Linked DNA regions of Anolis sagrei. The protein of the gene in region 3 purifies or fractionates together with the protein of the main gene of each other region. This does not show direct contact. Links are inferred from orthologs where the notes say so. Each region holds a gene or a part of one and is shown on either strand. Other genes may lie near its edges. The genes, in order: POLR3GL, POLR1D, POLR3D and POLR3B.

The links.
Region 1: the proteins of POLR3D (region 3) and POLR3GL purify together in Homo sapiens (co-immunoprecipitation; 4 studies listed by BioGRID and IntAct, counting the BioPlex papers as one, with this or other methods). This does not show direct contact. The link is inferred for Anolis sagrei from reciprocal best matches to the Homo sapiens genes POLR3D and POLR3GL.
Region 2: the proteins of POLR3D (region 3) and POLR1D purify together in Homo sapiens (affinity purification with mass spectrometry; 6 studies listed by BioGRID and IntAct, counting the BioPlex papers as one, with this or other methods). This does not show direct contact. The link is inferred for Anolis sagrei from reciprocal best matches to the Homo sapiens genes POLR3D and POLR1D.
Region 4: the proteins of POLR3D (region 3) and POLR3B purify together in Homo sapiens (affinity purification with mass spectrometry; 8 studies listed by BioGRID and IntAct, counting the BioPlex papers as one, with this or other methods). This does not show direct contact. The link is inferred for Anolis sagrei from reciprocal best matches to the Homo sapiens genes POLR3D and POLR3B.

The regions. Positions count from the first base shown.
Region 1 is NC_090032.1:21,351,623-21,359,082, reverse strand, and holds the start of POLR3GL (DNA-directed RNA polymerase III subunit RPC7-like), read left to right. Parts: upstream 1-4,446; 5' UTR 4,447-4,460; coding exon 4,461-4,652; intron 4,653-7,460. UniProt on the Homo sapiens protein: DNA-dependent RNA polymerase catalyzes the transcription of DNA into RNA using the four ribonucleoside triphosphates as substrates. Specific peripheric component of RNA polymerase III which synthesizes small RNAs, such as 5S rRNA and tRNAs.
Region 2 is NC_090023.1:31,194,174-31,201,064, forward strand, and holds the start of POLR1D (protein POLR1D), read left to right. Parts: upstream 1-3,885; 5' UTR 3,886-4,042; coding exon 4,043-4,068; intron 4,069-6,891.
Region 3 is NC_090027.1:1,456,591-1,463,797, reverse strand, and holds the start of POLR3D (DNA-directed RNA polymerase III subunit RPC4), read left to right. Parts: upstream 1-4,182; 5' UTR 4,183-4,294; intron 4,295-4,339; exon of another isoform or gene 4,340-4,579; intron 4,580-7,207. UniProt on the Homo sapiens protein: DNA-dependent RNA polymerase catalyzes the transcription of DNA into RNA using the four ribonucleoside triphosphates as substrates.
Region 4 is NC_090025.1:169,715,440-169,723,214, reverse strand, and holds the start of POLR3B (DNA-directed RNA polymerase III subunit RPC2), read left to right. Parts: upstream 1-4,769; 5' UTR 4,770-4,850; coding exon 4,851-4,922; intron 4,923-7,775. UniProt on the Homo sapiens protein: Catalytic core component of RNA polymerase III (Pol III), a DNA-dependent RNA polymerase which synthesizes small non-coding RNAs using the four ribonucleoside triphosphates as substrates.

The DNA.
Region 1 (7,460 bases), on a different chromosome or scaffold from region 3:
TATTATTATTATTATTATTATTATTAAATGTGTATTATTTTCAGGTTTTTTTTTAAATGATACGAACTATTAAATAATAATATTTTATTATTTTATTAAATTATTTTTTTTACATCCAATTTAATGTTACTACTAATACACTTCCCAAGATGCAAGATTTGTGTGTGTGTGTGTATGTGTGTATGTCTATATATATTGCAAGATGAAGGGAATAAACCAGGCTTTGCAATGGGAGGAAACATCCCAAAATAATATCCCAATACTCAGTTCAGTAATAATAATAATAATAATAATAATAAGGCAGGTGTGTATGTGTGTGTGTGTGTGTGTGTGTGTGTGTGTATTGCAAGAAGAAGGGAATAAATCAGGCTTTGCAATGGGAGGAAACATCCCATAATAATATCCCAATATTCAGTTCAATAATAATAATAATAATAATAATAATAATAATAAGGCAAGTGTGTATGTGTGTGTGTATGTATATATATATATATATATATATATATATATATATATATTGCAAGAAGAAGGGAATAAATCAGGTTTTGCAATGGGAGGAAACATCCCATAATAATATCCCAATACTCAGTTCAATAATAATAATAATAATAATAATAATAATAATAATAAGGCAGATGTGTATGTGTGTATGTATTTGTGTGTGTGTATATATATATTGCAAGATAAAGGGAATAAATCAGGCTTTGCAATGGGAGGAAACATCCCATAATAATAATATCCCAATACTCAGAATAATAATAATAATAATAATAATAATAATAATAATAATAAGGCAGATGTGTGTGTGTGTGTGTGTGTGTGTGTTTGTGTGTGTGTATTGCAAGATGAAGGGAATAAATCAGGCTTTGCAATGGGAGGAAACATCCCATAATAATATCCCAATATTCAGTTCAATAATAATAATAATAATAATAATAATAATAAGGCAAGTGTGTATGTGTGTGTGTATGTATATATATATATATATATATATATATATATTGCAAGAAGAAGGGAATAAATCAGGTTTTGCAATGGGAGGAAACATCCCATAATAATATCCCAATACTCAGTTCAATAATAATAATAATAATAATAATAATAATAATAATAATAATAAGGCAGATGTGTATGTGTGTATGTATTTGTGTGTGTGTATATATATATTGCAAGATAAAGGGAATAAATCAGGCTTTGCAATGGGAGGAAACATCCCATAATAATAATATCCCAATACTCAGAATAATAATAATAATAATAATAATAATAATAATAATAATAAGGCAGATGTGTGTGTGTGTGTTTGTGTGTGTGTATTGCAAGATGAAGGGAATAAATCAGGCTTTGCAATGGGAGGAAACATCCCATAATAATATCCCAATACTCAGTTCAATAATAATAATAATAATTGGGAAGTGTCCGACGTGGGATCCAATTCAACAGCCAGCAGAGTGTCTGCTGTCGACTCATCTTGTTGTGTTTCAAATAATAATAATAATAAGGCAGATGTGTATGTGTGTGTATCTAAAGCCAGCACTTTGAATTGTGCCCAGTAACACACCAGCAGCCAGTGGAGCTTGTGCAACAGAGAGGTTGTGTGTTCCCTGAGTGCTGCTCCTGGTTGTAACCTGGTTGACGCCCGTTGGCCCATTTGGAGCTTCCGAACAGTCTTCAAAGGCAGCCCCATGTAGAGCGTGTTGCAGTAGTCTAAACGGGATGTAACCAGAGTGCGGACTACTGTGGCCAAGTCAGACTACCCAAGGTACGGTTGCAAGTTTTAATTGTGCGAATGCTCTCCCAGGCACTGCCGAAACTTGGGGTTCCAGGCTCAGCGATGAGTCCAGGATCACCCCCCCCCCCCAAGTCTGTCAGTGAAATCGGGCGCACAGGAAGGCAGGAACACGATCAATCACGGCCACCTTAGGCTATAAACTACTTTATTTTTACAGCTGTATACATTAGAAGCTACTTAACAGTCAGCACATCGTAAAACTTGCTTCTCACCATCCGATCGTAACATTGTGAGCACACGAACTGCTGTTATCAGTACTAGTCCACACCTCTTTTGCGAACACACGAACTGCTGTTATCAGTACTAGTCCACACCTCTAGCTTTCCATGACGCTGCGTCCATTTGCTCTATACACTTATGACCTCTCTAGGAATGCCCTGTTCGCCCTTGCAACTGACCAGGAGGACCTCTGTCTTGTCTGGATCCAGTTTCAACTTGTTCGCTCTTATCCAGACCGTCACAGCGGCCAAGCACCAGTTCAGGACCTGGACAGCCTCCTTAGTAGCAGGTGGGAAGGAGTGACAGAATTGGACATCATCCGCATACAGATGACACCACACCCCGAAACTCCAGATGATCTCCCCCAACTTCATGTAGATGTTAAACAACATGGGAGACAGTATTGAACCCTGAGGAACCCCACAAGACAATGGTTGTGGGGTTGAACAGGTGTCCCCCAATAACACCTTCTGAGATCGACCCTCGAGGAAGGACCGGAGCCACTGAAGAACAGTCCCTCCAAGACCCATCTCCTTGAGGCGTCCCAGAAGGATACCACGATTGACGGCCGCTGAGAGGTCCAGCAGAACCAACAGGGACACACTCCCCATGTATTATTATTATTATTATTATTATTATTATTATTATTATTATTATTTTCTACCAATTCCAACGGGTGTCACAGGCGAACTCTATTATTATTATTACTGTATTACCTTCTGGCAAGGAAACTAGTCCAATGTGAGCTAGGCAAAACTACGGTGAGGTGGATCAGTAATTGGTTAAGTGGACGAACACAGAGAGTGCTCACTAATGCTTCCTCTTCATCTTGGAAAGAAGTGACAAGTGGAGTGCCGCAGGGTTCCGTCCTGGGCCCGGTCCTGCTCAGGATCTTCATTCATGACTTAGATGAAGGGCTAGAAGGCAGGATCATCAAGTTTGTAGACGACACGAAATTGGGAGGGAGAGCCAATAGTCCAGAGGACAGGAGCAGGATTCAAAACGATCTTGACAGATTAGAGAGATGAATGGCCAAAACTAACAAAATGAAGTTCAACAGCGACAAATGCAAGATACTCCACTTTGGCAGAAAAAACGAAATGCAAAGATACAGAATGGGGGACAATGAGTCCTGGCTCGAGAGCAGTACGTGTGAAAAAGATCTTGGAGTCCTCGTGGACAACAAGTTAAACATGAGCCAGGAATGTGATGTGGCGGCAAAAAAAGCCAATGGGATTTTGGCCTGCATCAATAGGAGCATAGTGTCTAGATCTAAGGAAGTAATGCTACCCCTCTATTCTGCTTTGGTTAGACCACATCTGGAATATTGTGTCCAATTCTGGGCACCACAATTCAAGAGAGATATTGACAAGCTGGAATGTGTCCAGAGAAGAGCGACTAAAATGATCAAGGGTCTGGAGAACAAGCCCTATGAGGAGCGGCTTAAGGAGCTGGGCATGTTTAGCCTGAAGAAGAGAAGGCTGAGAGGAGAGATGATGAGAGCCATGTATAAATATGTGAGAGGAAGCCACAGGGAGGAGGGAGCAAGCTTGTTTTCTGCTTCCCTGGAGACTAGGACGCAATGGAACAATGGCTTCAAACTACAAGAGAGGAGATTCCATCTGAACATGAGGAAGAACTTCCTGACTGTGAGAGCCGTTCAGCAGTGGAACTCTCTGCCCCGGAGTGTGGTGGAGGCTCCTTCTTTGGAAGCTTTTAAGCAGAGGCTGGATGGCCATCTGTCAGGGGTGATTTGAATGCAATATTCCTGCTTCTTGGCAGAATGGGGTTGGACTGGATGGCCCAGGAGGTCTCTTCCAACTCTTTGATTCTAGGATTCTATGATTAATATATTCATTATTATTAGTATTTGGGGCAGATTTTTAACATTTTATATTCAATTATTTTGGTTTTAAATATATTGTAATTATTGCAATATATTAGTATTATTAATATATAATAATATATTATTATAATATATAATAATATGTAATAATAATTATTATATATTATTATGTATTATAATAATATATTATTATAATATATTATCATATATTATCAATAATATTATATATTATCAATAGTATATTATTATGATTTGGGATACATTATTATGATCTATTATTTTATTTATTTGGATATTATTTGTTAATATATAATAATAAATTATTATGATCTATTATTAAGTATTCTAATAATATAATATATAATAATATAATATATTATTAAGTATTCTAATAATATAATATATAATAATATAATATATTATTATATATTATTAATAATATATTATTATTAATATATTATTATGATTAGGGATAGATTATTATCTATTATTTTTATTTATTTGAACAGATATTATTTGTTTATTTATAGTATATCATTTAAAAATATAAATAGGAAACAAAGTGACTTATTACAAAGAGAAACCCAGGAATCAATTCTGCGCATGCGTGGAAAGAGGCCTCTTCCCACTGCTGGCAAAGGCAGGCCGAAGCCCCGCCCACTCTTCATTCACAAGAGAAAGCCCCGGCCACGCCCCTTCCCTGGATCTCCGCTCCCATTGGCCGCCTGGAAAGAAGTCCCCGCCCATTTCGAACGTTCCCCGGGCAAGCCTCTTCAGCCGCTCCTTCCGGGTCACGTGAGTTTTCTTTTGCTGCAAAGGAAAGCAAACCGACCTTATTTTTGCATTATTATTATTATTATTATTATTGTTAAATGCATGGGAAATAAATGTTGAATTAAATAATGAAGTCTTATTTTGCAATGTTTTCCTAAATATTAAGGAGTTAAATATTTAAATTAAAGGATAAATAATATTAAATAATAAATGATAAATAATATTAAATAATAAATGATAAATAATATTAAATAATATTATATATATTAGGTTCTTGTGGGTTTTTTTCGGGCTATAGGGCCATGTCCTAGAGGCATTTCTCCTGACGTTTCGCCTGCATCTATGGCAAGCATCCTCAGAGGTGTGAGGTCTGTTGGAATTAGGACAATGGGTTTATATATCTGTGGAATGGCTGGGGTGGGGCAAGGAGCTCTTCCTTGCTAGAGCTAGGTGTGACACCGTCTACAGAAAACCCACACACACAGATAGATATCTACATCAAAACTCCAACCATCACCCAAGTCAAAAAAGAAGCACCATGAAAGCCTTGGCAGACCGTGCAAAAAGAATCTGCGAAGCCCACCTCCTCCAAGATGGACTGAACCACCTCAACTGGGCTCTCCAGGCCAATGGAGACGCCACCTCAGACATCAGAAGAGCTGCAAGACCACTGAGAAGAAGCCACGAGAGTCAAGACCAAGATCCACCCAGAGGAAAAGTGTTCCTGCCAGACATCAAGGGAACCACTGACCGCAGAGGGAAGCTGATGAGGAAACACAACATACAAACAATCTACAAACCCACCAAGAAAATCCAACAAATGCTACGTTCAGCAAAGGACAAGAGGGATCCTCTCACCTCTGCAGGAGTCTACCATTGTATCCCATGCAGCTGTGGACAAGAAGTCTCCAGAGGGACCCCCAAACGCAGCATTGCCCAGACACGCATCAAGGAACATGGAAGGCACTGCAGACTCCTTCAACCAGAGAAGTCAGCCATAGCAGAGCACCTGATGAACCAGCCTGGACACAGCAGATTATTGGAGAACACAGAAATGCTGGACCACTCTCACAACCACCATGTCAGACTACACAGAGAAGCCATTGAAATCCACAAGCATGTGGACAATTTCAACAGAAAGGAAGAGACCATGAAAATGAACAAAATCTGGCTACCAGTATTAAAAAACTCTAAAATTATAACAGCTAAACAACAGAGAGGAAAAAAACCAGGCACAGATTAACACCTCCCACCAAGAGATTTTCCCAGGCTCAGGCAGGCCTTCAAATGCTAATGAAGGTGATCAGCTAAACATTCACACCTAACTGCAGCAGGGAAGAGCTCCTTGCCCCACCCCAGCCATTCCACAGATATATATAAACCCATTTTTCCTACTTCCAACAGACCTCACTACCTCTGAGGATGCTTGCCATAGATGCAGGCGAAACGTCAGGAGAAATGCCTCTAGAACATGGCCCTATAGCCCGAAAAAAACCCACAAGAACCTAGTGATTCCAGCCATGAAAGCCTTCGACAATACATTATATATATTATATATAAATTATATTATAAAATTATATTATTCAAATATTAAAAATGCATTCAATTAAATGCATTTGCAATTGATTTTAATGCATTCTGAAATATTTGAGTAATTAAATGTTAAATTAAATAATGAAGTTTTATTTTGCAATGTTTCCTAAGTATTAAGGAGTTAAATTATTAATAATATTTAGGAAACATTGCAAAAAATATTTAATTATTCATAATATTTAGGAAATATTGCAAAAAATATTTGATTATTCATAATATTTAGGAAATATTGCAAAAAATAAGATCGGTTTGATTTGAAAGCCTTCGACAACACATTGCAAAAAATATTTGATTATTCATAATATTTAGGTAACGTGAGTTTTCTTTTTGCTGCAAAGGAAATCAAACCGACCTTATTTTTGCAATATTATTATTATTAGTTTTAAATGCATGGAATTAAATGTTAAATTAAATAATGAAGTTCTATTTTGCAATGTTTCCTAAATATTAAGGAGTTAAATGTTTAAATTAAAGGGTAAATAATATTACTTTGCTATATTACTCAAATATTAAAAATGCATTCAATGAAATGCGTTTGCAATTTCTATTATATATTAGATATATTTATCATTACATTAGTATTACATTATTATATTATTTCTTCTATTACTTATATATTACATATTATTATATATTCTATATATTTATTATATTATTGTAAATATATTATTATATTACTTATTCTATTACCTATTATTATTATTATTATTATTATATAAATTAATGCAGTCTGAATTTAATTTAAATATGTAATTTCATTATTATTATTATTATTATTATGTATATAATATTTTCACAAACCCCGATGACATCCAGACATCATGTTATTATTATTATTATTATTATTATTATGTTTATAAGGCCCCCCGGTGGCACAGTGGGTTAAACTGCTGAGCTTCTGAGCTTGTTGACCGAAAGGTCACAGGTTCGATTCCGGGGAGCGCCGTGAGCTTCCCCTGTCAGCCCTAGCTCCTGCCAACCTAGCAGTTCGAAAACATGCAGATGTGAGTAGATCAATAGGTACTGCTCTGGCGGGAAGGTAACGGCGCTCCATGTGGTCATGCTGGCCACATGACCTTGGAGGTGTCTATGGACAACGCCGGCTCCTCGGCTTAGAAATGGAGATGAGCACTAACTCCTAGAGTCAGACATGACTGGACTTAATGTCAGGGGACTACCTTTACCTTTACCTTACTATGCTAATAATATAATATATTGTATGTATATATATTTTGT
Region 2 (6,891 bases), on a different chromosome or scaffold from region 3:
TATACATCAAGGGAACCACTGACCGCATAGGGAACCTGGTGAGAAAACACAAACTATCTACAGACCTACTAAGAAAATCCAACAAGTGCTACATTCAACAAAGGACAAAAGGGATCCTCTCACCTCTGCAGGAATCTACCGTATACCATGCAGATGTGGACAAGTGTACATAGGGACCACGAAATGCAGTGCCCAAACACAAATCAAGGAACATGAAAGGCACTACAAGCTAATTCGACCTGAGAAGTCAGCCACAGCAGAGCACCTGATGATCTAACCTGGACATAGCATATTATTTGAGAACACAGAAATGTTGGACCCCTAGTTGTTCAATGACACAGAGAAGTCATTGAAATCCACGAGCATGTGGACAATTTCAACAGAAAGGAAGAAACCATGAAAATGAACAAAATATGGCTACCGGTATTAAAAAAAAACTCTAAAATTATAACAGTAAATAAAGAACAACACACAAACACAGGGGAACTCCAGACAAGAAACAATCAGGAATCACCTCTCAATAAAGGATTCCCCCCAGGCAATAACAAGTCACATCTAAAAAAAATCCTGTTAGGCCATCAAATGCCAATCAAGGTGGCCAATTGAAACATTCACACCTAGCTCCAACAGCCAGGGATTCTTTCTCCCACCCTGGACATTACAGATATATAAATTCAATTTTCCTAGTTTACAACAGACCTCACAACCTCTGAAGATGCCTGCCATAGATGCAGGCGAAACATCAGGAGAGAATGCTTCTAGAACATGGCCATACAGCCCGAAAAACCTACAACAACCCAGTGATTCCAGCCAATAAATCCTTTGACAACACACTGCCAACACACTTTGACAACACTTTGACAACACACTTGGGGCGGGGGAGGGGGCAGGGGACTTCCATCTTGTCTCCTGCATATGTCATCAGTTGGGGACCCCTTCCCCCAGCGCTGACTGCTGCTCGGGGTCAAAGTGAGGAGAGAGGGGGCCAGGGGACAGTTCCATCTTGTCTCCTGCATGTCATCATTTGGGGACCCCTCGCCCAAGCACCGGCTGCCACTCTGGGTCAAAGTGAGGAGGGGGGGGCAGAGGACAGTTCCACCTTGTCTCCTCCTGCATATTCATCAGTTGGGGACCCCTCCCCCCAGCTCCAACTGCCGCTCTGGGCCAGAGTGAAGAGAGAGGGAGCCAGGGGACAGTTCCACCTTGTCTCCTGTGCTATGCTAATAATATAATATAATGTAATGTAATATATTGTATATACATATATTTATAATATTATAATGAACTGCAATATAATACTAATAATATAATTATATATTTATATTACATGTAATATTACTAATTATATTACAATATATTATAGCATAGTACAATATAGTAATATATAATACTGACATTGTACTATGCTAATAATATATTGTATGTATATATATCTTGTAAGCTGCTCTGCAGCCCCTTTGGGGTGAGAAGGGCGGCATATAAATAAAGTTTAAATAAATAAATCTTTTGTGAATCTGCCCTGAGTCCCCCCGGGGATAAAGACTGGAATATAAATAAAGTTTTTTATTATTGTTGTTATTGATATTATTGTTATTAAATTAAAAATTAAAATGTCCAAATCACAAATAGGAATGGTGGGACTCAGTTCTTGTGGGTTTTTTCGGGCTATATGGCCATGTTGTAGAGGCATTTCTCCTGACGTTTCGCCTGCATCTATGGCAAGCATCCTCAGAGGTGAGGTCTGCTGGAACTGGGAAAAAAGGGGGTTTATATATCTGTGGAATGATCAGGGTGAGACAAAGGGCTTTTGTAAGTTGGGCTAGGTGTGAATCTTTCAACTGACCACCTGATTAGCATACAATGGGCTGACTGTGCCTGGAGCAAACTCTTCTTGAAAGGTGATTAGATGTCCCTGCCTGTTTTTCTCTCTGCTGTTTTTGCTGTTGCAATTTTAGAATTTTTTAATACTGGTAGCCAGATTTTGTTCATTTTCATGGTTTCTTCCTTTCTGTTGAAATTGTCCACATGTTTGTGGATTTCAATGGCTTCTCTGTGTGGTCTGACATGGTGGTTGTGAGAGTGGTCCAGCATTTTTGTGTTCTCAAAATGCTGTGTCCAGGTTGGTTCATCAGGTGCTCTGCTATGGCTGATTTCTCTGGTTGGAGTAGTCTGCAGTGCCTTTCATGTTCCTGGATTCTTGTTTGGGCGCTGCGTTTGGTGGTCCCTATGTAGACTTGTCCACAGCTGTATGTTGTGTTTCCTCATCAGCTTCCCTATGCGGTCAGTGGTTCCCTTGATGTATGGCAGGAACACTTTTCCTCTGGGTGGATCTTCATCTTTACTCTCGTGGCTTGTTCTTGGTCTTGCAGCTCTTCTGATGTCTGAGGCGGAGTATCCATTGGCCTGGAGAGCCCAGTTGAGGTGGTTCAGTTCATCTTGGAGGAGGTGGGGTTCACAGATTCTTTTTGCACGGTCTGCCAAGGCTTTAATGGTGCTTCTTTTTTGACTTGGGTGATGGTTGGAGTTTTTATGTAGATATCTATCTGTGTGTCTGGGTTTTCTGTAAACGGTGTGACCCAATTGTTGATCTGGTTTACGGATGACTAGGATATCTAGAAAAGGCAGTCTTCCTTCGTTTTCTTTTTCCATAGTGAACTGGATGTTCGGGTGGATGCTGTTAAGATGTTGGGAGTTGGAGGAATGGTGGGAGTTGAAGTTCAAAAACACCTGGAGGGCTCAAGTTTGCCCAGGCCTGGTATATAGGAATTTTAATTATGTTGAAACCTGCCTTCAAGAGGTGAGGCAGGCAACACATAAATAATAATAATGACGATAATAATAATAATAATAATAATGCGTTGTTGTTGTTGTCACTCTCCCAGTGGAGATGACTCTATGACTCTAAGACGACACCAAATTGGGAGGGATAGCCAATAGTCCAGAGGACAGGAGCAGAATTCAAAACGATCTTGACAGATTAGAGAGATGGGCCAAAACTAACAAAATGAAGTTCAACAGTGACAAATGCAAGATACTCCACTTTGGCAGAAAAAATGAAATGCAAAGATACAGAATGGGTGACACCTGGCTCGAGAGCAGTACGTGTGAAAAAGATCTTGGAGTCCTCGTGGAGAACAAGTTAAACATGAGCCAACAATGTGATGTGGCGGCAAAAAAAGCCAATGGGATTTTGGCCTGCATCAATAGGAGCATAGTGTCTAGATCTAGGGAAGTAATGCTACCCCTCTATTCTGCTTTGGTTAGACCACATCTGGAATATTGTGTCCAATTCTGGGCACCACAATTCAAGAGAGATATTGACAAGCTGGAATGTGTCCAGAGGAGGGCGACTAAAATGATCAAGGGTCTGGAGAACAAGCCCTATGAGGAGCGGCTTAGGGAACTGGGCATGTTTAGCCTGAAGAAGAGAAGGCTGAGAGGAGATATGATAGCCATGTATAAATATGTGAGAGGAAGCCACAGGGAGGAGGGAGCAAGCTTGTTTTCTGCTTCCTTGGAGACTAGGACGCAATGGAACAATGGCTTCAAACTACAAGAGAGGAGATTCCATCTGAACATTAGGAAGAACTTCCTGACTGTGAGAGCCCTTCAGCAGTGGAACTCTCTGCCCGGAAGTGTGGTGGAGGCTCCTTCTTTGGAAGGTTTTAAGCAGAGGCTGGATGGCCATTTGTCAGGGGTGATTTGAATGCAATATTCCTGCTTCTTGGCAGGGGGTTGGACTGGATGGCCCATGAGGTCTCTTCCAACTCTGTGATTCTATGATTCAGGCTTGTGGGCCCAGACAGGAACTTCAGGCGCAGGCAGCGCTGGGGGCGGGGCTTCTTCTGCCAAGAGGCCCCGCCCCTTTCCGGGGTCCTCGCGAGCGGCTGTTTGGCCTCGTCGCGAGCTCCGCCTCCCATTGGCTGCTGCGTCGCAGGAAGCAGCGAGAAAGAGAGCCATGATGGCGGCGGCCTGAGAGAGCGAGCGAGCGAGCGAGCGAGAGTGAGAGTGAACGGAGACCCCTCAGCCCGCAACCGCCGCCATGGCGGAAGACGCAGAGCTGGAGAGGTGGGTGAGGCCTGCGCGGAGGAAGGGGCAGGCCTGGCGGTTGCTGCTCCCTTGGCAGCCGAGGGATTTGGCCTTGACTGGGAACGCCAAGAAGGTCCTACTAGAGGCTTCCCAGCGGCCTTTAGTCGCCCGATCTTTAGGGCCTCGGTATCTTAAAGGGACCGCACCCCATTATTATGACTATTGCAGTATATTTATCCCATCAGGTCTTGGAAGCTAAGCAGGGTCTGACCACTTGCGAATGGTAGGTGCTGTTTCAGGAGGAAGGGATTCACACAACTATGAAGGTGTATCTAGAATGAGTGCGGTTTGACATCTCTTTAACTGCCAGGGAATCATAGGGGTTATAGTTTGCTGAGGTCCTAAGACAGTGGTTCTCAACCTGGGGGTCGGGACCCTGGAGGGGTCACTAAAGATCACCAGAAAACACAGTATTTTCTGTTGGTCATGGTGGTTCTATGTGGGAAGTTTGGCCCAATTCTGTCATTGGTGGGCTTCAGAATGCTCTTTGATTGCAGGTGAACTATAAATCCCAGCAACTACAACTCCCAAGATATCAAGGTCTATTTTCCCCAAATTCCACCAGTATTCACATCTGAGCATCTTGAGTATTCGTGCCAAGTTTAGTCCAGATCCCTCATTGTTTGAGTCCACAGTGCTCTCTGGATGTAGGCAAACTACAACTCCAAAACTCAAGTCAATGCCCACCAAAATCCTTCCAGTATTTTCTGTTGGTCACGGGAATTCTGTGTGCCAAGTTTGGATCAATTCCATCATTGGTGGAGTTCAGAATGCTCTTTGATTGTAGGTGAACTATAAATCCCAGCACCTACAACTCCCAAATGTCAAGGTCTATTTTCTCCGAAGTCCACAAGTGTTCACATTTAGGCATACTGAGTATTCTTGCCAAGTTTAGTCCAGATCCATCATTGTTTGAGTCCACAGTGCTCTCTGGATGTAGACGAACTACAACTCCAAAACTCAAGGTCAATGCCCACCAAACCCTTCCAGTATTTTCTGTTGGTCATGGGAGTTCTGTGTGCCAAGTAGAGTTCAGAATGCTCTTTTATTGCAAGTGAACTATAAATCCCAGCAACTACATCTCCCAAATGACAAAATCAACCGCCCAACCCCACCAGTTTTCAAATATGGGCGTATCGGGTATTTGTGCCAAATTTGGTCCAGTGAATGAAAATACACCCTGTGTATCAGATATTTACATGACGATTCATAACAGCAGCAAAATGACAGTTATGAAGTAGGAAGGAAAATAATTTTATGGTTGGGAGTCACCACCACATGAGGAACTGTATTAAGGGGTCGCGGCATGAGGAAGGTTGAGAACCACTGTCCTAAGAACTCTTTGGCAAAGAAGACCATGCAAAACCACAATAATAATAATAATAATAATATGATGATGATGATGATGATGATGTTGCAATCCCAGGTGACAGGATTGAAGAGAAACAACTGGAATAGCAGAAACTATATGAGGATTTAAAGATCGAACTGCAAAGACTCTTGCACAAGCCAGTAAAGGTGGTCCCAGTAGTGATCGGCACACTGGGTGCAGTGCCTAAAGACCTTATAATAATAATAATAATAATAATAACAATAACAATAACAATAATAACAATAATAAACTGGGGACTCGGGGCGGGTTACATGAGGCCAAGCCCAACAACATATTACAATAAAGTAAAACCAAAATACAATAATAACACAGTAAAATACATACAACATATGAGTTCAAAGACAATAAAGCAAAATCATACACCGTAAAATAAAATAACATAACAATGAGTGGGCCGCATGTGCAAGATAAAAACTTGATACTAAAAATACTAAAATCAGGATGAGATAGGGATAGAGTAGATTGTTCGTGGGGGAGAAACTTGTAAAGGAACAGGGTCATAAATATAGACCTTCATTCAGGTGTGGAAATATACTCTGGGGACAAAAACCATTGAGGGGAAGCAACTGTGTATGATAATATGGCTACTCTCCAAAAGCGCATTGGAAAAACCAGGTTTTGAGATCCTCCTTGAAAATTTCCTAATCTCACCGGGCAATGAGTTCCAGAGTCAGGGGGCCACAGAGGAGAAGGCTCTCGCCTTTGTACTTACAAGATGAGCCTGAGATAATTGCCTGGCCTGCGCTTAAATACTATTGGCGCTGACAAAATTACCATCTGCCAGCTGCAGAAGGCCACCTTACTGGGATCTGCACGCATTGTTCGCTGATACATCACACAGTCCTAGACACTTGGGAAGTGTCCGACATGTGATCCAATACAACAGCCGACAGAGTGATCTTGTTGTGTTTCAAATAATAATAATAATAATAATAATAATAATAATAATATAATGAACTTTATTTATACCCTGCCACCATCTCCCCAAAGGGGACTCAGGGTGGCTAACAAGTGGCCAAGCCCAAGAATTACAATCAAGCAAAATAAAATACAAACAAGCAAATAATAACAACAAAATAAAATGCAAAACAATAACAAAATATGCAATAAAACAATGCAAAATAAAATGGTAGAAAAATTAGCGCACAGTGGACGGGCCAAATTCAAAGGGTAAAATTTATAAAACCCTGGGTGAGATGGATAAATGGAGTAATGTGTCTGAAGGGAGACTCAGAAGGGGTGATCGCATTGAGCCATGGCAGTGTCAAACTGCATTAACTCAGTAGTGAAGATGATGATGATGATTATATATCTTTATTTTTGTCCTGCTTTTCTCCCTAATGGGACCCAAAGTAGCTCACAGCGTAGGTAAAGGTTTCCCCCTGACATTAAATCTAGTCATGTCCGAC
Region 3 (7,207 bases):
ACTGGATGACCCTTGGTGTTGCTCCTATTATTATTAATATTAGAGATACATAACAAGATTAGTACACGGCGAACAAGATCACTGTGCTGGCTTTTGTATTTGATCCCACATCGAACACTTCCCAAGTTTCTAGGGCTGTGTGATGTATCGGTGAATAATGCATGCAGATCCCAGTAGGGTGGCCTTTTGCAGCTGGCAGATGGCAATTTTGTCAGCGCCGATTGTGTTTAAGTGTAGGCCAAGGTCTTGAGGCGCTGTGCCCAGTGTGCAGATCACCACTGGAACCACCTTGACTGGCTTGTGCTAGAGTTTTGCAGTTTGATCTTTAAATCCTCATATCGTGTCAGCTTTTCCAGCTGCTTCTCGTCAATCCAGCTGTCGCCTGGGATTATTATTATTAAGGTTGGAAGACCCCTGGGGTTGTTCCTATTAGTATTAGTATTATTTGCGTGGCTATCTTTTGGGGGTGCTTTGATTGTGCTTCTTCTGCATGGCAGAAGGCGGTTGGATTGGATGGTCCTTGGGGTTGCTCCTATTATTATTGTTGTTGTTATTGTTGTTGTTATTATTACACAGGCTGGGTGGCCATCTTTTGGGGGTGCTTTGATTGTGCTTCTTCTGCATGGCAGAAGGTGGTTGGACTGGATGGTCCCTGGGGTTGCTCCTATTATTGTTGTTGTTGTTATTGTTATTATTATTATTACACAGGCTGGATGGCCATCTTTTGGGGGTGCTTTGATTGTGCTTCTTTTGCATGGCAGAAGGCGGTTGGACTGGATGGTCCCTGGGGTTGCTCCTATTATTATTGTTGTTGTTGTTGTTATTGTTATTGTTATTATTACACAGGCTGGGTGGCCATCTTTTGGGGGTGCTTTGATTGTGCTTCTTCTGCATGGCAGAAGGTGGTTGTACTGGATGGTCCCTGGGGTTGCTCCTATTATTATTATTATTATTATTATTATTATTATTATTATGACACAGGCTGGGTGATCATGTTTTGGGGATACTTTGATGGTGCTTCTTTTGCATGGCAGAAGGTGGTTGGACTGGATAGTCCCTGGTGTTGCTCCTATTATTATTATTATTATTATTATTATTATTATTACACAGGCTGGGTGGCCATCTTTTGGGGGTGCTTTGATTGTGCTTCTTCTGCGTGGCAGAAGGGGGTTGGTCTGGATGACCCTTGGTGTTGCTCCTATTATTATTAATATTAGAGATACATAACAAGATTAGTACATGGCGAACAAGATCACTGTGCTGGCTTTTGTATTTGATCCCACGTCGAACACTTCCCAAGTTTCTAGGGCTGTGTGATGTATCGGTGAATAATGCATGCAGATCCCAGAAGGGTGGCCTTTTGCAGCTGGCAGATGGCAATTTTGTCAGCGTCGATTGTGTTTAAGTGTAGGCCAAGGTCTTGCGGCGCTGTGCCCAGTGTGCCGATCACCACTGGAACCACCTTGACTGGCTTGTGCTAGAGTTTTGCAGTTTGATCTTTAAATCCTCATATCGTGTCAGCTTTTCCAGCTGCTTCTCGTCAATCCAGCTGTCGCCTGGGATTATTATTATTAAGGTTGGAAGACCCCTGGGGTTGTTCCTATTAGTATTAGTATTATTTGCGTGGCTATCTTTTGGGGGTGCTTTGATTGTGCTTCTTCTGCATGGCAGAAGGCGGTTGGATTGGATGGTCCTTGGGGTTGCTCCTATTATTGTTGTTGTTGTTATTGTTGTTGTTATTATTACACAGGCTGGGTGGCCATCTTTTGGGGGTGCTTTGATTGTGCTTCTTCTGCATGGCAGAAGGGGGTTGGACTGGATGGTCCCTGGGGTTGCTCCTATTATTATTATTGTTGTTGTTGTTATTGTTATTATTACACAGGCTGGGTGGCCATCTTTTGGGGGTGCTTTGATTGTGCTTCTTCTGCATGGCAGAAGGGGGTTGTACTGGATGGTCCCTGGGGTTGCTCCTATTATTGTTGTTGTTGTTGTTGTTGTTGTTGTTGTTATTATTATTACACAGGCTGGGTGGCCATCTTTTGGGGGTGCTTTGATTGTGCTTCTTCTGCATGGCAGAAGGTGGTTGGACTGGATGGTCCCTGGGGTTGCTCCTATTATTATTATTATTATTATTATTATTGTTGTTGTTATTATTATTATTACACAGGCTGGGTGGCCATCTTTTGGGGGTGCTTAGATTGTGCTTCTTTTGCATGGCAGAGGGGGGTTGGACTGGATGGCCCTTGGGGGTCCCCTCCAACTCTTATGATTCTATGAAGTCTCCAAACTTTGGCCCTCCCTCCAGGTGTTTTGGACTCCGACTCCCACAATTCCTAACAGCCGGTAGGCTCTTAGGAATTGTGGGAGTTGGAGTCCAATACACCTGGAGGAGGGCCAAAGTTTGCCAATGCCTGATCTGCACTGTAGAATTAATGCCGTTTGAACCCACTTTAACTGCCAAGGCTCAGTGCTGCTATGGAGTTGTGGGAGTTATAGTTTGGTGAGGCTTCAGCATCTTGGGCAGAGAAGGCCCCAATAAATAATAATAATAATAATAATAATAATAATAATAATAATAATATTAAAAAGCCTTGTCAAATCCCATAGCATTGAGTTGTCTAATAGCATCAATGAAACTGGCGTCAACTCCATTCATTCAACAGTGTCTTCCTTTCTTGGGGTGGTTTGTTTGTTTGTCGTGTCAGAGCAAGCAGTCCATTACATTACATTTCTAACAGAACAAAGCAAACAGACATAATACAAAACTTGTGAGTTTGGTAGTTGGTTAAATGTCCTTTGACCAGTCTCTGTCCCCTTGGAGTGCCTCTGGTGTTGCCGCAAGAAGATCCTCCGTTGTGCATGTGGCAGGGCTCAGGGTGCATTGCAGCAGGTGGTCAGTGGTTTGCTCCTCTCCGCACTTGCATGTCGAGGATTCCACTTTGTGGCCCCATTTCTGAAGGTGGGCTCTGCATCTCGTGGTGCCAGAGCGCAGTCTGTTCAGCGCCTTCCATGTCACCCCGTCTTCTTCTGTGTGCCCAGGGGGGAGTCTCTCATTTGGTATCAGCCATTGGTTGAGGTTCTGGGTTTGAGCCTGCCACTTTTGGACTCTTGCTTGCTGTGGTATTCCAATGAGTGTCTCTGTAGATCTTAAAAAACTATTTCTAGATTTGTTGTTGACGTGCTGGCTGATACCCAAACAGGGGATGAACTGGAGATGTCTCTGCCTTGGTCCTTTCACTATTGGCTGCTCCTTCCCGGCGAATGTCAGGTGGTGCAATACCGGCTAAGCAGTGTAATTTCTCCCGTGGTGTAGGGCGCAGACACCCCATGATAATGCGGCATGTCTCATGAAGAACCACATCCACTGTTTGAGCGTGGTGAGATGTGTTCCACACTGGGCATGCGTACTCAGCAGCAGAGTAGCATCGCGCCAGGGCAGATGTCTTCACTGTGTCTGGTTGTGACCCCCAGGTTGTGCCAGTCAGCTTTCGTATGATATTGTTTCTAGCACCCACTTGTTGCTTGATGTTCAGGCAGTGCTTCTTGTAGGTCAGAGCACGGCCCAGAGTGACTCCCGGGTATTTGGGTGCGCTGCAAGGCTCCCGTGGGATTCCTTCCCAGGTAATCATCCTCAGAGCTCAGGATGTTTGCCCATGCCCGATTTGCACTGTAGAATTAATGCAGTTTGAGCCCACTTTAACTGCCAAGGCTCAGTGCTGCTATGGAGTTGTGGGAGTTATAGTTTGATGAAGCCTCAGCATCTTAGGCAGAGAAGGCCCAAGATAATAATAATAATAATAATAATAATAATAATAATATAAATAAAAAGAAATAATAATAATAATAATAATAATAATAATAATAATAAAGATTTGTCAAACCCCATAGCATTGAGTTGTGCCAATCAATGAAACTGGCATCAACTCCATTCATTCAACAGTGTCTTCCTTTCTTGGGGTGGTGAAAACAAACAAACCCGGAAACATTGCCTTAAACAAACATGGCGGATTCGCAGTTTCCTCCTTCAGAAACATGGGGGAGATGGCAAAGGGGCAGACCATGCCAGGTTTAAAAATGGCGGATAGCCTTAAACAAATATGGCGGATTCGCAGTTTCCTCCTTCGGAAACATGGGGGAGATGGCAAAGGGGCGGACCGTGCCAGGTTCAAAAATGGCGGAGGCCCTGCCGCGCATGCGCACTCCGCGATCTGCACCGTGGCTGTGTGCCGGAGAGAGAGACCTCGAGGGAAGCGGCGCCATTGGAAACGGAGAAAGAAGCCTCGCTCCGTCTCGGGTGGGTCCGGGGAGAAAGTGGGGCGTGCCTGCCTCTGTGGGGAGCGGGCCTAAAAGCCGTGGGAGCCTGGCTTTGCATTTCAGAGGCCTGGAGGCGGTGTGCGGCCTTGCGAGGTGTTTTGGACTTCATCTCCCAGAATTCCTATTCATTGGACGGAGTGGCTGAGGCTTCTGGGAGTTGGAGTCAAAGCGAAAAACATGGCGGCTCAGTGAGTATTTGATACTGGTGGGCCAGCAGAAGGCTGGAGAACATTATGAAGAGGCCCAGGGGCATTGTGTATGGCCAGTCATTAATATAACATAATATAATCTACTAGACGTCCCCTGCCACGCGTTGCTGTGGCCCACATGGGGGTTCATGTGTGGGAGGTTTGGCCCAATTCCATCGTTGGTGGGGTTCAGAATGCTCTGTGATTGTAGGTGAACTATAAATCCCAGCAAGTACAACTCCCAAATGTCAAGATTCTATTTTCCCCAAACTCCACCAGTGTTCACATTTGGGCATATTATTTATTATTTATTTATTTATTTCTTGCATTTATTGACCGCCACTCTCAGCCCTAGGGCGACTCGTGGCGGTGAACAATAACATGGAAAAGACAGTTTACAATAAATCAAACAGTACACAACAATCTACTACTACATAACATATACTTATACTAAAAATCCGCTTCGTCATATCATGGGGACATATCAGTTTCATAGTCGTGATCCATTCCGGTCATCATTTCCAATGAATAGCACTCAATTGAAAGCCCTCTCAAAGAGCCATGTTTTCAGGCTCCTACGGAAGGCCATAAGGGAGGGCGCCTGTCTAACTTCAGCAGGGAGAGCGTTCCACAGCCGGGGGGCCACCACCGAAAAGGCCCGCTCTCTCGTCCCCGCCAGACGTGCCTGTGAGGCAGGTGGGACCAAGAGAAGGGCCTCCCCGGATGATCTCAAGGTCCTCGTGGGCTCGTAGGCCGAGATGCGGTCTGCAAGGTATTTTGGGCCGGAACCGTTTAGGGCTTTGTAGGATAACACCAGCACCTTAAATTGGGCCCGGTAGCAAATCGGCAGCCAGTGGAGCTGGGACAGCAGGGGCGTTGTATGCTCCCTGCGCCCGGCTCCTGTTAGCAACATGGCTGCCGCGCGCTGGACTAGCTGGAGCTTCCGGGCCGTCTTCAAGGGCAGCCCCACGTAGAGAGCGTTGCAGTAGTCGAGGCGGGATGTGACCAAAGCGTGTACCACCGTGGCCAAGTCAGACTTCCCAAGATACGGGCGCAGCTGGCGCACAAGCCTAAGCTGTGCAAATGCTCCCCTGGTCACCGCTGAAACCTGGGGATCCAGGCTCAGCGACGAATCCAGGGTCACACCCAAGCTGCGAACCTGCGCCTTCAAGGGGAGTGCGACCCCGTCCAGCACAGGCTGTAACCCTATACCCTGCTCGGCCTTGCGACTGACCAGGAGTACCTCTGTCTTGTCTGGATTTAATTTCAGTTTGTTCGCCCTCATCCAGACCATTACAGCGGCCAGGCACCGGTTCAGGACTTCGACGGCCTCCTTAGTAGCAGGTGGAAAGGAGTGACAGAGTTGGACGTCATCTGCGTACAGATGACACCGCACCCCGAAACTCCGGATGATCTCACCCAGCGGCTTCATGTAGATGTTAAACAGCATGGGGGACAGGATGGAGCCCTGAGGAACCCCACAGGTCAACGGCTGTGGTGTTGAACAGGAGTCCCCCAATAACACCTTCTGGGTGCGACCCTCCAGAAATGACTGGAGCCACTGCAAAGCAGTGCCCCCAAGACCCATCTCTGCAAGGCGCCCCAGAAGAATACCGTGGTCGACGGTATCGAAGGCCGCTGAGAGGTCCAGGAGCACCAACAGGGACACACTCCCCCTGTCTAGCTCCCGGCGCAGATCATCCACTAAGGCGACCAAGACCGTCTCGGTACCATGTCCCGGTCTGAAACCAGACTGTGCCGGATCCAGATAATCCGTGTCTCTCAAGAATACCTGGAGTTGTGAGGCCACCACGCTTTCCATGACTTTGCCCAAGAAGGGAAGATTGGAAACAGGCCGAAAGTTGTCAAATTTAGTGGGATCCAATGATGGTTTCTTCAACAGCGGCTTTATAACAGCCTGTTTTAGGCTCGCTGGAATCTTGCCTTCCCGAAGGGAGGCATTAACCACCACCGTTACCCACTCGGCCAATCCCCCTCTGGCCTCCTTCAGAAGCCAGGATGGGCAGGGGTCTAGGATGGACGTGGTGGGTCTCATTCCTCCAAGTATCTTGTCCACATCCTCGGGCTTCACAAACTGAAAAGAATCCAACAAAATAGGACAAGCAGGTGCTTGTGTCACATCCACAGAGACTGCATTTAATGTGGCGTCCAGCCCAGAGCGGATCAAAGCGACTTTGTCTGCAAAGAACCGAGCAAATGCTTCACAGCGCGTGGCCGAATTGTCAGGGCTCCCACCTGAGGTAGGGGGAGTTAAAAGACCTCTGACAATCCGAAACAACTCCGCCGGACGGTTTTTTGCAGACGCAATAGTAGCCGCAAAGAAAGTTTTCTTTGCGGCCTTTATTGCCGCGGCATATGCCCTTAGAAAGGACACAAACCGTGTTCGATTTGGCTCGCTTGGGTCTGAGCGCCACACGCTCTCTAGTACCCTCTTCCTTCGCTTCATCGCTGCCAGCTCCTCAGTGAACCAAGGAGCTGGTTTAGCTCGGTTACTCGAGAGAGGACGTTCCGGAGCGATCCTGTCAATTGCCCTGGTCATCTCCCCATTCCAGAGAGCGACCAAGGCCTCGACATGGTCACCTACCGAGGTGGCGGGAAAATCCCCAAGAGCCGTCAGGAATCCATTCGGATCCATAAGCCTCCTGGGGCGGACCATCTTAATGGGTCCTCCACCCTTGCGGAGG
Region 4 (7,775 bases), on a different chromosome or scaffold from region 3:
AAACAGGGGAATGCTATTGTGTTATTTTATTTAAAAGGAAACTATGAATTGTCTAAAATGTTTTGGTTCTTGATATGGATGGGTGATGTTATAAATATCTATGAGAAACTTAACTGTAATGATTTTGTTGTGGGGTTGTGTGTGTGTATGTATTCCTTTGATTTTTAAAAAACACTATGAATGCAGGGAGATGAAGTGCAGTAAAAAAATACTTTCCAACAGTTTCTTATTACCTGAGAAGCTATGAGATGGATAGACACCTTAACTTTTTTTTTTAAAAAAAAGAGTACTACTCACAGAATCTCACAGGTGTTTTGGGCATGGTGGCAAAGGAATTATTGGCATTTTGGTCCAAAGAAGTAACTTTTCTTAGCTTTGGTTGAATTCAAGCAAAGTTGTCATAGTTGGGTCCTACTGATTTCAACAGTGATAAATTTCAAACAACTTAGTCTGAATTCAGTATGTTTTGGAAAACTTTCAGGAAGAATATTATGAGGAAGCAATAATTTTGTGATTTTATCTATGACTTGAAAAGGGCATTTTATATAGCATGGTATGTCCATTTAGCAATCTGTACATGTCCTCTAATGTTCATAATCTTTTCAATGTTCAGATTAATCAGTACAATTAATTTGTCCCTCTTGCATGTTGCGTGGTGAAATTATCCAAATATGTTTAACTCCATTCCCTTCGCCCTAGCCCTACCAGGGCTCAATGAAAGCAAGGTATTGTTATGTAACTGGCTTATTTTTGTGTTGATATCTGTATTAATTAAATTCCGTTTGACTTTTAAAGTATTTATTTATTTATTTGAAATCTTTATATTTCACCCTTCTCACCCCAAAGGGGACTCAGGGAAGTTCACAACGTATACACGGCAAGCATTCCATGCTGGAACATAAAATAACTATAAATATACACAAACACTACAAACAGTTATATCTACTTTAAAATCAGTTGCTTAAAAACCATCTCAGAACACCATGATGGCTCCAGTTAGTGGAGTGGGTTTCCTATTATTGCCCTATTGCACTGTCCCAAAGGCTTGTGAAACAGGCTGGAGAACAGCTGAAGCATTTTTTGCAGAGTCCACTGTAAACACTGTAGGTTGTTGCTAACAGATTCATGTAAATGGGTGGTATTGTTGCCAAATTTTTGTGACCCCAATATTGAGCAAAGGGGACCCTATATGTTTAAGAAGCAGTGCTCTAGAAGACCCCAAATTATGGTACCTTTTCTGTTTGAACCACCACTTAAAACTACTGCATGCTCTCTACATTTGCAGTTCTGGCTTCTTCATATTTGATTATTCAGAAATGTGATTAAAAGTGTTATTTGTAGGAAGATTTAGGTGCTCCAGTGTGACTTTAATGAATTTCCTCCATTCATGCTGGAGCAAGGGTCCAAAAAAGAAGTGGTTGTCCTCATTTCTCCTAAGATCTTGTCCATGTCCTCGGGCCAAACAAGCTGAAAAGAATCCATTAAACAAGGACAAGCAGATGCCTCATTCATATTCACGGAGACTGCATTAATACTGGTGTGTAAGTCAGAGCGGATCAGAGTGACTTTATCTGCAAAGAACCTAGCAAACTCTTAACAACAAACTGCCGATTGGTCCGGAAAGAGTTTAGAAGCCCCCTTACCATTCGAAACAGTTCTATTGGGCAAGTCTTTGTGGATGTAATGTTGGTGGCAATAAATGATTTTTCTGCCACCTTAATTGCTCTTAAATAAGCTCTAGACTCACTGCGCATGGTACGCTGCTGTAGTTTCCACTTCACTTGCAAGCCCCAACAAATGTGGGGAGCTGGTTATATTTCCTCCAAACAGGTCCAGCTTTTTTGGCACAGAAATTCAGCAATGGGAAGTGATTCACCTGTCAAATTAATTTTTCATCCCACTCTCAGTTAATTAGGAAAAAAGCAAAAAGCAGTTGCCTGCAATCATAACTAACTAAAAATCCAAAAAAATGCACAGTCACAAATGAAATCTGAGAGTCAGATTTCCCTCAAAACTGGGGAAAATATACAGGCTATTATTCCAATAAGTAATTCTGCAAATTGTTGGTAAGTGGTGTTACTGTATTATTATAATTTCCCATTTTTATCTGAGACAACATTAATAACAATATTAATAATAATGTTATTTCTTACCCGCCTCTCCTTGAGGCTAGAGGCAGGTTAAAGGTAAAGGTGTTCCCCTGACATTAAGTCTAGTTGTGTCCAACTGGGGATTGGTGCTCATCTCCATTTCTAAGCCGAAGAGCCGATGTTGTCCGTAGATACCTCCAAGGTCATGTGGCCGGCATGACTGCATTGAGCACTATTGAGGCTAACAGCAGGAGCTCATGTCCGACTCTGGGGATTGGTGCTCGAGCTGGTGTTGTCCATAGACACCTCCAATGTCATGTGGCCAGCATGACTGTATGGAGCGCCGTTAGGGCTAATAGCAGGAGCTCATGCCGCTTCCCGGATTTGAATCTGTGACCTTTTCATCAGCAAGTTCAGCAGCTCACTGTGCCACCAGGGGCTCCTAGAGGCAGGTTACAGCATAGTTAAAACACAAAAACATTGTAAACATTCTGTATATGCACATAATAAAATATATTTCTATAAAATACATATTAAAATGCACAGAACAGAGATTAAACACAAGACACGAGTTTTAAATACTTTATTATTGTTATTATATTGAGAAGACTCAAAGCGGCTTTACATAAACTACAACAAACAAAAACTACAACATACAAATATTAAAATAGAATTGAAGCAGAAAATTAAAATCCCTTAAAATAATTAAAAATTATTACAATACTTTGAACTACACATAACTGCACTGATATTCCCCAATCCAAATAATTCCAAGAACATTTCTATCCTCTGTTGCAATAATTTCTGCTTTGGGTTACTGTAAGTTTTCTGGGCTGTATGACCATGTTCCAGAAGTATTCTCTCCTGACGCTTCACCACATCTATGGCAGGCATCCTCACAGGTTGTGAGGTCTGTTGGAAACTAGGCAAGTAGGATTTATGTCTGTGACATGTCCAGGGTGGGAGAAAGAACTCTCGTCTGCTTGAGGCAAGTGGGAATGTTGCAATTACTCACCGGAGCGTCATACAGGGAGCATACCACCCCCCTGCTGTTTCAGCTCCACTGGCTGCCAATCCAGTTCCGAGCACAATTCAAAGTGCTGGTTTTGACCTACAAAACCCTTTATGGCTCCGGCCCAGCGTACCTGTCCGAACATATCTCCTTCTACGTCCCACCTCGGAGGTTAAGATCTTCTGGGGAGGCCCTGCTCTCGGCCCCACCTTTATCACAAGTGAGACTGGTGGGGATGAGGGACAGGGCCTTCTCGGTGGTGGCCCCTCGCCTGTGGAATGCACTCCCTGGGGAGATTAGGTCATCAACATTCCTCTTCTCCTTCAGAAGGAAGTTAAAAACCTGGATGTGGGACCAGGCCTTTGGGTAAGCTGGCAGTTGGACAAAATACAATGACGACCAAAGTAGGAAAGGACAATGACGATGCTAGACGGATCATGAATTTATGAATTGGCGAACATTGACCGCAAGATGATTTTATTGCTGCAACTGTATTGTTTTTTATTGTTTTAATTAGTTATAATTGTTGACGTTATATTGTAATTTTGTATATTGTATTTTGTGAGTTGTTGGGCATCGAATTGTGCCTTTTGTAAGCCGCCCTGAGTCCCCCCCTAGGGGGTTGAGAAGGGCGGGGTAGAAGCACCCCAAATAAATAAATAAATAAATAAATAAAATTAGTCACCTTGATTAGCACTGAATGGCCTTGCAGCTTCAAAACCTGGTTGCTTCCTGCCTGGGGTGAATCCTTTGTTGGGAGGCCCTGACTGTTTCTTGTCTGGAATTTCTGCTTTCTTCAAAATACTGTCAAGAAAGAAGCCCTCAGGTAGAGCAGAAGGAAACCATTCGGATAGGAAATTCTTTTAACAATATAGTTAGCTGTAAATAAGAGTTTTGGAAGCTTCAGTTAGTCCAACGTGCGGCAGCCATGATTCTAACCGGAGTGGAGCGCAGGGAGCACACAACCCCCCTGTTGCGCCAGCTCCATTGGCTGCCGATTTGCTACCGGGCTCAATTCAAGGTGTTGGCATTGGCCTATAAAGCCCTAAACGGTTCTGGCCCAAGATACCTTTCCGACCGCATCTCGGCCTATGAACCCACCAGGACTTTGAGATCTTCCGGGGAGGCCCTGCTCTCGATCCCGCCGGCTTCTCAAGCACGGTTGGCAGGGACGAGAGATAGGGCCTTCTCGGTGGTGGCTCCTCGGCTGTGGAACGTCCTTCCTACAGGCATTAGGCTGGCGCCATCTCTCATGGCATTCCGAAGAAAGTTGAAGACCTGGATGTTTGTGCAGGCGTTTGAGTAATTTAGTGCAATCTGGTAATGGAACATAGGAATGGAACAATGGACGACGAACCTGGACTACGCTTGGATGATGAGAAGATTGGGTACGGTTGTTTTTTGTAATAATTGTGCATTGTAATTGCTTATTGGTAATTTATGGATAATGTGTTAAGTCAATTGTTATATGTTGTATGGAACCACTGCTGTTTCTACTGTTTTTACTGTTTGTGAACCGCTGTGAGTCGCCTTCGGACTTGAGATACAGCGGTATATAAGCAAAGTAAATAAATAAATAAATAAATAAATAAATAAAGGCTTCTAGGAAACGTGGCGGAACCTTTTTGGACGTCCTCAGTTGCACTTCCGGTCAGGTTTCAGCGACGCACACGCATAGCTCTGTGGAAGGCGGGGACTACGCATGCGCCAACTTTCTGGCTGTTGCCGGTTGTTTTTCTCTCTCCAGCATGGACGATCTGGTGGCAGAGCTGGGAGCCTCCACTCCGGAGCAGCTGGCGGCTCCTGTAAACACGGTGGAGGTGAGTGAGAATGGCGAGAGCATCCGAAGGAAAGAAAGAAGCGGCTCTGCCCAAGGGATAGGGGTAAATGTGGCTTCCGAAGTCCACGGTGCGCATGCGCTAAGCGTCAAGGCATGCCTGGCTGCTCACTCAGCCCTAGAGTGCGCATGCGCAGTAGTAGAGCCACAACAACCTCTGGTGCTCCTTTCCTGGATGCAGCCATGCTTGAGAAATAACGCAGCTTGACACCACTTTAACTGATCATTGGATTTGTAGTTTGGTGAGGCACCAGCCCTCTTTGTCAGAAGAAATACCGTGTACAAGAAAACGTTTGTGTTTCCATAGCATGGAGACATAACAGTTAAAGTAGTGTCAAACTGCATTATAGAATCATAGAATCAAAGAGTTGGAAGAGACCTCATGGGCCATCCAGTCCAACCCCCTGCCAAGAAGCAGGAATATTGCATTCAAATCACCCCTGACAGATGGCCATCCAGCCTCTGTTTAAAAGCTTCCAAAGAAGGAGCCTCCACTACACTCCGGGGCAGAGAGTTCCACTGCTGAACGGCTCTCACTGTCAGGAAGTTCTTCCTCATGTTCAGATGGAATCTCCTCTCTTGTAGTTTGAAGCCATTGTTCCGCGTCCTAGTCTCCAGGGAAGCAGAAAACAAGCTTGCTCCCTCCTCCCTTAGTTCTACAGTATAGATGCACCACATGGCCCCTTGTCCTTTTTCGAGGAAGCCAATAGAGCAGGCATGGGAAAACTTGAGCCCTCCAGGTGTTTTGGACTTCAACTTCCAGCCTCAGGGCCCTTCATTAAGTGGCTGAAGGGGGAAATAATAATAATAAACCTTTATTTGTACCCCGCTACTATCTCCCGCAGGACTCGGTGCGGCTTACAAGAGGCCGAGCCCAAAGTACATCATTAACAAAAACACAACAGACAACAATGCAATGCAACAATAAATAAGCAAGCAATAAAACAATAACAAAAGCACAGCACTGTTAAAAACCTGTGGCAGGGCCAAATGTAATAGTTAAAATTCTAAAAATTCGGGCCTGTCCAGGTGAGGTAGAATGGATATTTTGGGAATAGAAGGGTGTGCAGACAATTCTAACTCTCTCATAAAGTGCATTAGGGACAATTGCTTGGGATTCCTTAATCTGGGAAAGCACACTGGAACATCCATGTTTTCAAGCTCTTTCTGAAGACTACCAGTGTTGGGGAGTGACTGATGTCCTTGGGGAGGGAATTCCAGATTCGTGGGGTCACCACCGAGAAGGCCCTGTCCCTCGTCCCCACCAATCGCGCTTGTGATGCTGGTGGGATCGTGAGCAGGGCCTCACCAGATGAACGAAGGGATCGTGTGGGTTCGTATACGGAAATGCGGTCACGCAGGTAGGTGGAAAGGAAAGGGCCGAGGCTGTTAGGAATTGTTGGAGTTGAAGTCCAAAACACCAGGAGGGCCCAAGTTTGCCCAGGCCTGCAATAGAGGTATTTTTATTTCCCAATAAATCAACTACACAGTGCAACTCAATATGTATATACTCAGGAGTAAATCCCACTGAGGGCCTAATCACACTAGAGAAAAAAAATCTACTTAAAATCCGTTTCCTGTAGAATTCTGGGGTTTGTAGTTTAGGGAGGGGCCTTTAACAGCCTCACTACAAACTCCAGAATTCTGCAGGAGGCAGAATTTTAAGTGGATTTTTTCTCTAACGTGATGAAGTCATAAGTTAAGTGTGACTTGTTCCTCAGATAAATGGTTCTAAGAATATAGCCACACTGCACAATTATAGCACTTTGATAGTATTTTTAACTGATATGAATGCTGTAGATTTCTGGGATTTGTGAGGTTTTTCGCTTTCTCTGCCTGAGAGCTCTGATGCCACAGTGCACATTCCAGAATTATATGTGCCACTAATTGTGGTTCTCAACCTGGGGTCCCCAGATGTTTTTGGCCTACAACTCCCAGAAATCCCAGCTAGTTTACCAGCTGTTAGGATTTCTGGGAGTTGTAGGTCAAAAACATCTGGGGACCCCAGGTTGAGAACCACTGCATGGCTTTGGGGAAAACTCAGTTCTGCTTATGGAGCCAGTACATTCAGTTAGTTTTAGTGATTGTGAATATTTCTTCAGCAAGGTAGCTGAAGGGAAACCTCGTTAGATTGCTTGAGTAAAAAGAATCTAACAGAGGGGGTTTTAGGATCGCCAGTAGTGGAAGACTGGGGATTCAGTGGTTTGATCCGGTATAGGACAAACAGTGTGAATGTTCACAATTAGGAACACTGAAATAATAAAGCACTTCACTGTAGAAGGAGTTTATAAGAATTGTAACATCTAAAGCCTGAATGTATCACAGCCAAGCCATATTGTAACCAACAAGCATGTGCCAAGTTCAACATCTCAATATTACAACAATTACGCTTTGTTAATAATAAACTTGTTCTCTTTGTTATTTTAAACCTGCCTCCTCCATTGATTTTATGTTCGGTGTATTCCACTCTACCAAAGTTACCTCACAACGCAAATAGGAGTAAATAGAGACTTTAAGACCAGCGTCTTTACATTTTATTGGTGGCAGTTTAATTTAATAGCAGTCTAGGGACTTCCTTATATTTTTGGTAATCCCATTTGGTGGGATAAAGACTTCTTCACATAATTTTGGAGACAAGCGGTGGCATTAACGCTTCCTCACATAAATATTATTAGCAATTTCAACCCATCATTATAATTCAGGCTTTTTGTTTGGGTTAAAATAGTTGCTGATTAAGTTTATTCTTATATTCCAAATAATTCTAATAATAATAACTTTATTCTTATATCCCATGCCATCTCCCCAAAGGGGCTTGGGGCGGCTTACAGATGACACA